2 linked regions of the Callithrix jacchus genome follow. The protein of the gene in region 1 interacts with the protein of each later gene in a pairwise test. Links are inferred from orthologs where the notes say so. Each region holds a gene or a part of one and is shown in the gene's direction. Other genes may lie near its edges. The genes, in order: IFT25 and IFT27.

What was found.
Region 2: the proteins of IFT25 (region 1) and IFT27 interact in binary tests that used the Homo sapiens proteins (3 or more experiments, as listed by UniProt). The two-hybrid records come from large-scale screens. The link is inferred for Callithrix jacchus from reciprocal best matches to the Homo sapiens genes IFT25 and IFT27.

Annotation. Positions count from the first base shown.
Region 1 is NC_133508.1:91,059,360-91,063,175, reverse strand, and holds part of IFT25 (intraflagellar transport protein 25 homolog), read left to right. Parts: coding exon of another isoform or gene 1-45; exon of another isoform or gene 46-129; intron 130-2,013; coding exon 2,014-2,120; intron 2,121-3,816. Other genes in the region: small ribosomal subunit protein uS2, read left to right, coding at 1-45. UniProt on the Homo sapiens protein: Component of the IFT complex B required for sonic hedgehog/SHH signaling.
Region 2 is NC_133502.1:207,709,137-207,713,625, reverse strand, and holds the start of IFT27 (intraflagellar transport protein 27 homolog), read left to right. Parts: upstream 1-1,419; 5' UTR 1,420-1,454; exon of another isoform or gene 1,455-1,817; 5' UTR 1,818-1,845; coding exon 1,846-1,879; intron 1,880-4,489. UniProt on the Homo sapiens protein: Small GTPase-like component of the intraflagellar transport (IFT) complex B that promotes the exit of the BBSome complex from cilia via its interaction with ARL6. Not involved in entry of the BBSome complex into cilium. Prevents aggregation of GTP-free ARL6.

The DNA of each region.
Region 1 (3,816 bases):
GCTCAGGCCACTGAATGGGTAGGAGCAACCACTGAATGGTCTTAAGCTGTTCTTGTGTGGCCTCTTAAACAACATGTAAGATTCATGGAAAATAAACATCGAGTTTCTAAAAAAAAAAAAAAAAGAAAATCACTCTAGCTATATTCATATAATACAAAGTAGAATGTAAGACAAGGAGCATTACCAGAGACAAAGGGGACATTTTATAATGTTAGAGGGTCAATTCATCAGGAAGAGAGGATAATCCTAAGTGTATATGGACCTAATAATAGTTCTTTAAAATACATAAAGCAAAATCTGACAGCTGAAGGGAGAAATAGACAAATTCACAATTATAGTTAGAGATTTTAATACCCTTTTCTCAGTAATGATAGAACAATTTGGCAGAAAATCAATAAAGACATAGATGATCTGAATAGTATCATAACCTCGACTTTGTTGACAGTTATAGAACACTATAATCAACAACAAGAACATATTAATGGGTTGGGTGTGGTGGCTAATGCCTGTAATCCCAGCACTTTGGGAGGCCGAGGTGGGCGGATCACCTGAGGTCGGGAGTTCGAGACCAGCCTCACCAACATGGAGAAAGCCTGTCTCTACTAAAAATACAAAATTAGCCAGGCATGGTGGCGCATGCCTGTAATCCCAGCTACACGGGAGCCTGAGGTAGAATTGCTTGAACTTGGGAGGCAAAGGTTGTGGTGAGCCAAGATCACACCATTGCACTCCAGCCTGGGCAACAAGAGTGAAACTTCATCACAAAGAAAAAAAAAAAAGGAAAATGGAATGCAAATAGTACAACCACTTTGGAAATCTGACAGTTTCTTATAAAGTTAAATATACTTTTACCCTATGTCCCAGCAATTTCACTCTTAGTAATTACCCAGAGAAATGAAAACATGTTCACAAGCACCTGTACAAGCATATCTGTAGCAGCTTTGTTCCTAATAGTAAAAAAGTGGAAGCAATTACAATATCCAACAACATATCAAAGAAAATCATGAATAAAAACATTGTGGCATAGTCTGGTGATAGAAAGCAAAGCAGTGGTTGTCAAAGGGAGGTAGGGATTTCTGGAAGGAAAGATAAGGGAAATTTCTGGAGTTATGGAAATGTTATATCTACTGGAGTATTGGTTACATAAGCATGTACATTTATCAAAACTCATTAAGTTATACACTTAAGGTGAATTTCACTGTAGGTAAATTTTATTTCCAAAAAAAGAAAAAGCTTATGTAGTTGAAATGATTATTTCTGTAGTCAAAATTATATATACTGTTTTGCCTATATGTGACTTAAAATTGAGTTCATGTTTTAATTTTTGTTTGAACAAACATTTAGGTTGTCTCTGCTATGGGTGAGCCATTGTAGCAGTTGTAGGGTTACAAAGATGAGTAAGGGAAGGAAGCTGGGCTCAAAGAGCTCAGCATTTAGCAGGAGCCATAGAAACAGGAGATTAAGTGCCAACGTAGAAATAGAGGCTAAGTGTGAGATAAGTGCAAAAGAGGGAGGCAGTGATTCTGAATTGGTGGGGTTAGATAAATGAGACCAAAAAGTGAATGAACTTAAGGGGAAGAAGGGTTTTTCAGGTAAAAAAAAAAAAATACTCATGAATGAACCAAGGTACAGAAGCATAAGCCTGCATTAACATATTTGCAGAATTTTAAGTGGCCCAGTGTGACCACAGTAATGGAAGAGAATATACCTTAATTATGGAACCAGATTGTACAGTCTTAAATGCCATACAAAGGAGTTTAGAATTATAGGCAATAAGGGAGCATTGAGGCTTTTGAATAGGAGTGATACCTATTCTGTTTCTGTGTTTTAGAAAAGAATACCTGATAGTAGTAAAGAAGAATTATTAAAATTAGAGATTAGAGATTATAGGCAGAATTAACAGAAAGGAGATATAAAAGTTCAGTAGTCATTTAATTTTAAAGAACAGGTATTCAATACAATTTTATAATTAACCATTTATATTTGGCTATTTTTTTTTTTAATTAACAATAGGAATCCAGACACATTTTGGACCACTACAGGAATGTTTCCCCAGGAATTCATTATTTGTTTCCACAAACATGTAAGGATTGAAAGGCTTGTAATCCAAAGTTACTTTGGTAAGCAAATCTTACATTAATTTTTTCTTTTTTTTTTTTTGGTGCTCCAGGTAAGGCTCATATGTTAATTTTCATTATCCTTTAATTTTTTCCACAGGCAGAAGGCATGTATGTAAACTTTTGGCAAAACACTAGTTTTTCTTTATAGCATGGAATCCAGTTTTATTGCTTGGGTGAAAGGATGGGGATTATGGATTAACTGCCTTGAGCTCAATTGGCCTCTCTGAAACTGCAAATTTGAAACCCTTCCAAAGCACATAATAATTTCCATGCAGTTTACTATGTGAAAGTCTTTGACAAAAGGCCCTATTAGGAACATTAGACGCCAGTTTGCCAGAACACTAAGTTCCATGACTGGAACTTAGTGGGCTCATGCCCATAATCCCAGCATTTTGGGAGGCTAAGGCGGGCAGATCGCTTGAGCTCAGGAATTCAAGAGACTAGGTGGGCAACAAGAGACTAGGTGGGCAACATGGAGAAATAGATTCATTTGGCCAGGAGTTCTTTGTCCAATTCTGGTTGAAAATCTGATAACCCTGATTATTTACATTGGATAGTTGTGATTCTTCTATTACTAGTGGCATTTTCTGAGGAATTTGGGAGGAGAATCTCCCTTGGGACATCATTCTAATCCTATTTATCTATTTAAGAATAACATTATCAGACAAAATCATGGCAGGAAACAGAATGCATCCTAGATGGGTCAAATGAAGAGGCTCTATTGATGGGACTACCTGCAAAATTATGGCTTGGGTTAAGGGAACAAACAACGCAAGGAATGATGAGGCCCTCAGTAACTAACTATAGCTGGAAGCTGTGACCAGCCCTGGGAAGGAAATAGTGTTATTAGAGATCTGTGAGAGCTGGAGCCTGTGTGAAAGGACCTAACAGGAGCTGTAGGCAGGAGAAACTGTCAAAGATGTGGCACTGAAGCAGGTAGGGAATGGAGATAATAAAATAGGCTGATCTTACTTCCCCACACCAGTCTCCCCATGGTGTCCCCCACTGGCCAAATCCAATAAGAAGCCAGTAGGTAAGTGAATCCAGGTGATGTAGTCCACAGAGGTTAGCTTCTCATGGCACAGAACAGGACAAAGAGGAGGAGGAATGGATCTGGAGTGGTAGAGACTGGACTGGGGACAGTGGAGAAAAGACTGTATTCCTGTTAAGTCTCTCTTTAAAAAAAATTTTTTTTAAGTCTCTCTTTTGTCATTAATTGTGGAGACTCTGGAGTCAGACCTAAAGTTTGAATTCCATTTCTGGCACTTACTAGCTATATATCATTGAACACCTTGCTTGGCTCCATGAAACCTGTTTTCTTACCAATAAAGTGGGTTAAAATATTTTTCTCATGATATTGTAGTCAAAAGTGAATGGATAAATATGTCTGACTCATCATAGGCTCTCCATGAATGTTCATGATCAAGACACCAATAGTATTATTATTGCCAGAACACAAAAAAAATCTGAATAAAGCCAATTCAAAAAAGCTCTACTTGCTCTGCGTTATGTGGTTGCAAACATTTGGAAGATTAGTTACACAAGACTGTATTTTACCATAGGGTTTTTTTTTTAAAACACAGAGTAACTTCCATGATGTTTCTGATCCCAGTGCTCTGTGTAATTCCATTGTGCATGACAATCTCAGGCAGAGGGAAAAAGAAATATAGGTACAAAAACATAGAACCAGATTAAC
Region 2 (4,489 bases), on another chromosome or scaffold:
ACCTCGTGTTGACCAGGATGGATCGCTTGACCTCGTGATCCACCCGCCTCGGCCTCCCAAAGTGCTGGGATTACAGGTGTGAGCCACCGCGCCCGGCCTGGGCAGTCCCCAGGCTGAACGGCATTTGCCGTAACACCAGGAATGAATCCCAAGGAAAGAACGTGCAGACAACTTGCATTGTTTTACTCCAGATTCAGAGCCGAAACCATCAGTCATTCATAGAGTGTGTGTGTGCATTCCCCGACACAAGGCTGGCGGCCACCCTGAGGTGCAGAGTGGTGGAGAGGTGGACTGCAGGGAATGTGGAGCCTCCACACAGGCACCTTTACTGAGGGGCTGCTCTTCCCGTCAGCATCAGCCATCAGAAATCCCAGGGGCCCCGAGAGAGTGAGGACAGGGGGTACATTCGGCCAACCAATGGCAGCGATGATAAACCAGATAAGCTTCGTCTCTCTCATGCACCCCACGATCACTGGTGAACCTACTAACTCACAGGTTTCTCTCCTTCCACCCCCACACCCACCCCACGAGGTGGGTTCTCCGAGGCCCATCCTGAGAGGCTGAGGGATGAGTTAACTTTCCCAGGCCAGAAAGACGCAGTGATTTAGGTCTCTCGCTCTCCAACCACGTGCAAGAGACCCCTGACCCGGAAAACAGCCGCGTAGACAGAGCCTCCCCGGGCGACGCGCGCGCGGCGTGGTGAGCGATGCGTCCTCCCTTTGCCAGACGGTAAATGGACTAAGAGGAAAGAACGACGTCAAGTTCCCGAGTCTCCCCGCTCAGCCCCATCAAAGCGTGCCCGTTCTCCCTTTATTCACAAATATCACTCGAAACACCGTATTTTAGATTTTAACGCTCATAACATCTTTGGGCTTTTAAAATGAGATTTCCCTGAGGGATGCGGGCCAAGAACTGAACTTCTCGACGCACTGTAATAGCCGCGCTGTGCAGAACCCGGGAACCGGGGAAGCCACTAGAACCGCTGCGAACTCAAACCAAGTCAATACGGCCTCAGCAGCGGCAGCCCGGCCCACCGCGCTGGCGTCGCCCCAGAACGCCTAGAGCCGGACCTGCTAGAGTTCGCCCCCTGGTAGGCGAACCCACTTCCAGAAGGACAGCGGGAGTGGCGAATCCCCATTCCTCCCGAAGACGGGCCTAGCCAGCCTCCGACCAGTCAGAAAGCTTCTCTTACCGCTTCTGTCAGCCTGACGTGAAGACTTCTTTACCTCGGGACTCTATGGCGCCGTAGGGGCGGGATATAAAGCTGACTGACGTCATTTACAACCACTTGTCCAGCAGAATGAACTTGAAGAACAAATAACTTCACGAATTGTGTCTCAAGAAAAGGCTATTGTCCCCACCCTCTACTCCCATTGGGTCTTTGCAAGCCCTCGAGGGTGGGAGCTATTGGCGACAACCAATCGAGAGTCAGCGAGGAGGGGGAGGCGGGGCAGGTGGGTTATGGTTGCCTGGAGTGTGCGTTTGGCCGGGTACTTGGGGCGGGAGGAGATCCTTCCCTGGCCCCGCTGGGGAAGGCTGGGCTGAGGAGCTGTGCCGGGAGCACAGGCCGTGTCCGCTCGCTTGCATCTTTTCAGACTGCCGTGTCGGGCCTCGAGCCGGACCCATCTGGAGCCCCCCTATACACCGCTCCCAGCGCCCATTAACCGCCCACAGCCCAGGAGGGCTGGGCCCGGTCATCCCCAGCCCCGCCGCGGCCACCGGCCCTTGAGATCAGCCCTCCCCACCTCCCCGTTCCAGGACGGCCCAGGGCCCGAAGCCCACCCACCCGCGCCTCTAGCAGCCGCTCTTGTCCTCAGGGTACGGCTCGCGGGAGTGTTGGTTACCATGGTGAAGCTGGCAGCCAAATGCATCCTGGCAGGTGAGTCTGAAAACTTGCGCTTGAATACAGCGGTCTCTGGAGTCCCAGGCCTTCAAAATTCATCCAAAGCTTTTGTTCACCTAAATTTCCTACCTTCTTTTCCTCTCTCTCTCCTAAAGGCGAGTTACTGCCATTACTGATACAGTAAATTACATTAGCCGCGGAAGAAAGATCCTCCGTGGCACATTCGCAGCTCCAGCGGATTCCCCCTGCTCCCTGCCATACGCCGAGACCACCTTCACCGGTTGAACTGACTCGTTAAAAAAGTCACTAGTTAAAACTCTGGAGCAGCAGACTCGTTAAAACAAAACTTAAGCAAACCTTGAGTCCTTCAGCTAAATATTTACTGTACCCCAAAGTTAGGCTCGGTGACTTTGGTAGTCTTTACTGTGGGATTTTTTTCCCTTGACCTCACCCCCTCTGATAACGGTGACAGGAGTGTAGTGACCCGAGTTCGCAAAAGGCACTTGTGTGTTGTCTTTAAGACCCAAATTTACTGTGCTGCCCCGCTCCAAGAAGGACATAAATGTTGAGTCTCCCAAGGGCAGCAATCTTTGTTTTGTTGACTGATATATCCCAAGCGCCCAGAATAATACCTGGAACATAGTAAGCACTCGATTAATACTTTCAGAGTGGATGGCTATGTGGCTCGCATATTTTTAGTGCATCGTATCAGTCTGCATATTTAGAAAAAATGGCTTGGATTATAGACCTTTTGACTACACGAAACACATACGCACGTTACTGGATCCTTACTGCATACGAGGCACACATATTGCATGAAATGGTCCCACTGTAGCACTCTGGGCTACGTACTAGATCTGCCCAACTCTGAAACTCTTAACTCGTGTTTCCGTTGAAAGCTGTGACCTTTCCGGGCTTCCCCACCAGCTCAGGAAAGAAGTGGTGAGAAATTACATAGAGAAAAAGAGATTTCTTTTTTTAAAAAAAAGTCCACTCTTCCAGACTGAAAGTAAATGATCATATTTGTAATGGCTTTTATAATTTGAAAGTAAAAGGGTAACATAGAAAGATGACTCTGACAGTAGTAACTGAATCATACTGGAGCAAAAGAAATGAATGGTTCTCAGGAGAGTCTCCTGTTTGCAGAGCACCAGAGGAGGCAGTGTTGTGTAACAAAAGGAATTCTGCCCGTTCCTCTTACTGGCTGTGTCATCTTGGACAAAGCACTTTTTTGAGCTTTAATTTCTTTATGGATAAGTTGGGAACATTATTTTCTGAAGTTATATATTTCTTTTTCAATGGGCTTATCTCTGTTCCTTTTAAATTCGGTTTTCAGCGTGGAGCTAACTTACTGAACACTTTCTGGGCACCAGCTCTGGGATAGACCCTCGATTACAGGTGGTCTCACTGAATCCTCACAGCAACCCTGTAGGATTGGTGGTATTGCCATTCTCATTTACAGATGAGGTAACTGAGTTCCAGAAAAATGAGGACATTTGCTGTGGGTCACACAGCTGGAAACGGCAGAACTGTATGATCCAGACCCTGGATTCCAACCTGATTTCCAGGGCTTTAGCCCAGGCTACGCTGTCCTCAAGCCATGATCCTCATCTTCTGTTTCTTTTTTTTTTTTTTTGAGATGGAGTTTCACTCTTGTCGCCCAGGCTGGAGCACACTGGCGCAATCTCGGCTCACTGCAACTTCTGCCTCCCAGGTTCAAGCAATTCTCCTGCCTCAGCCTCCTGAGTAGCTGGGATTACAGGTGCCTGCCACCATGACTAGCTAATTTTTTCATATTTTTTAGTAGAGACGGGGTTTCACCATGTTGGCCAGGCGGTCTTGAACTCCTGACCTTGAGTGATCCACCTACCTCAGTCTTCCAAAGTGCTGGGATTACAGGTGTGAACCACCACACCTGGCCCCCCCTTTTTTTTTTTGACACAGTTTCACTCTGTCACCCAGGCTGGAATGCAATGGCGCACAATCTCAGCTCACTGCAACTTCTGCCTCCCAGGTTCAAGCGATTCTCGTGTCTCTGCCTCCCAAGTAGCTGGGATTACAGGCACATGCCACCATGCCAATTTTTGTATTTGTAGCAGAGATGGGGTTTCACTATGTTGGTCAGGCTGGTCTTGAACTCCAGACCTGAAGTGAGCCGCCCATCTCAGCCTTCCAAAGTGCTGGGATTACAGGCATGAGACACTGCGCCTGGCCTGCAGCCTCTTTTCAAGGCCTCCGCAGCATTTCCTCTTGAAAGTTTCTGGGGACCAAAAGACCTCAGCCCAGAAATCAGCCCACTTTGCCATGCCCACCACACGCGTGCACGCGCACGCGCACACACACACACACACACACCTACAGCATTGGTTTTATTTTTCCATCCATGCCCCATAGCCCTGCTGTTTAAACTGAGTTGCTCTGTTTTTTCTCTCACGTATCTAGTCATTGAAGGAGCTGACGTTCAGTTCAAGTGTTGATGCTTTGAACAGATACTGGCTGAGCACCTACTGTGTGTGAGTCACCATGCAAGGTGCAGTGGGAATGCAAGCGTGAGTCAGTTACACTCAAGGAAGAACTAAGATGTGTGTGAGAAGTTCTAGCAAACAACAGCCAGTGCTCTTTGTGTGCCAGGTGCGGAAAGTACCT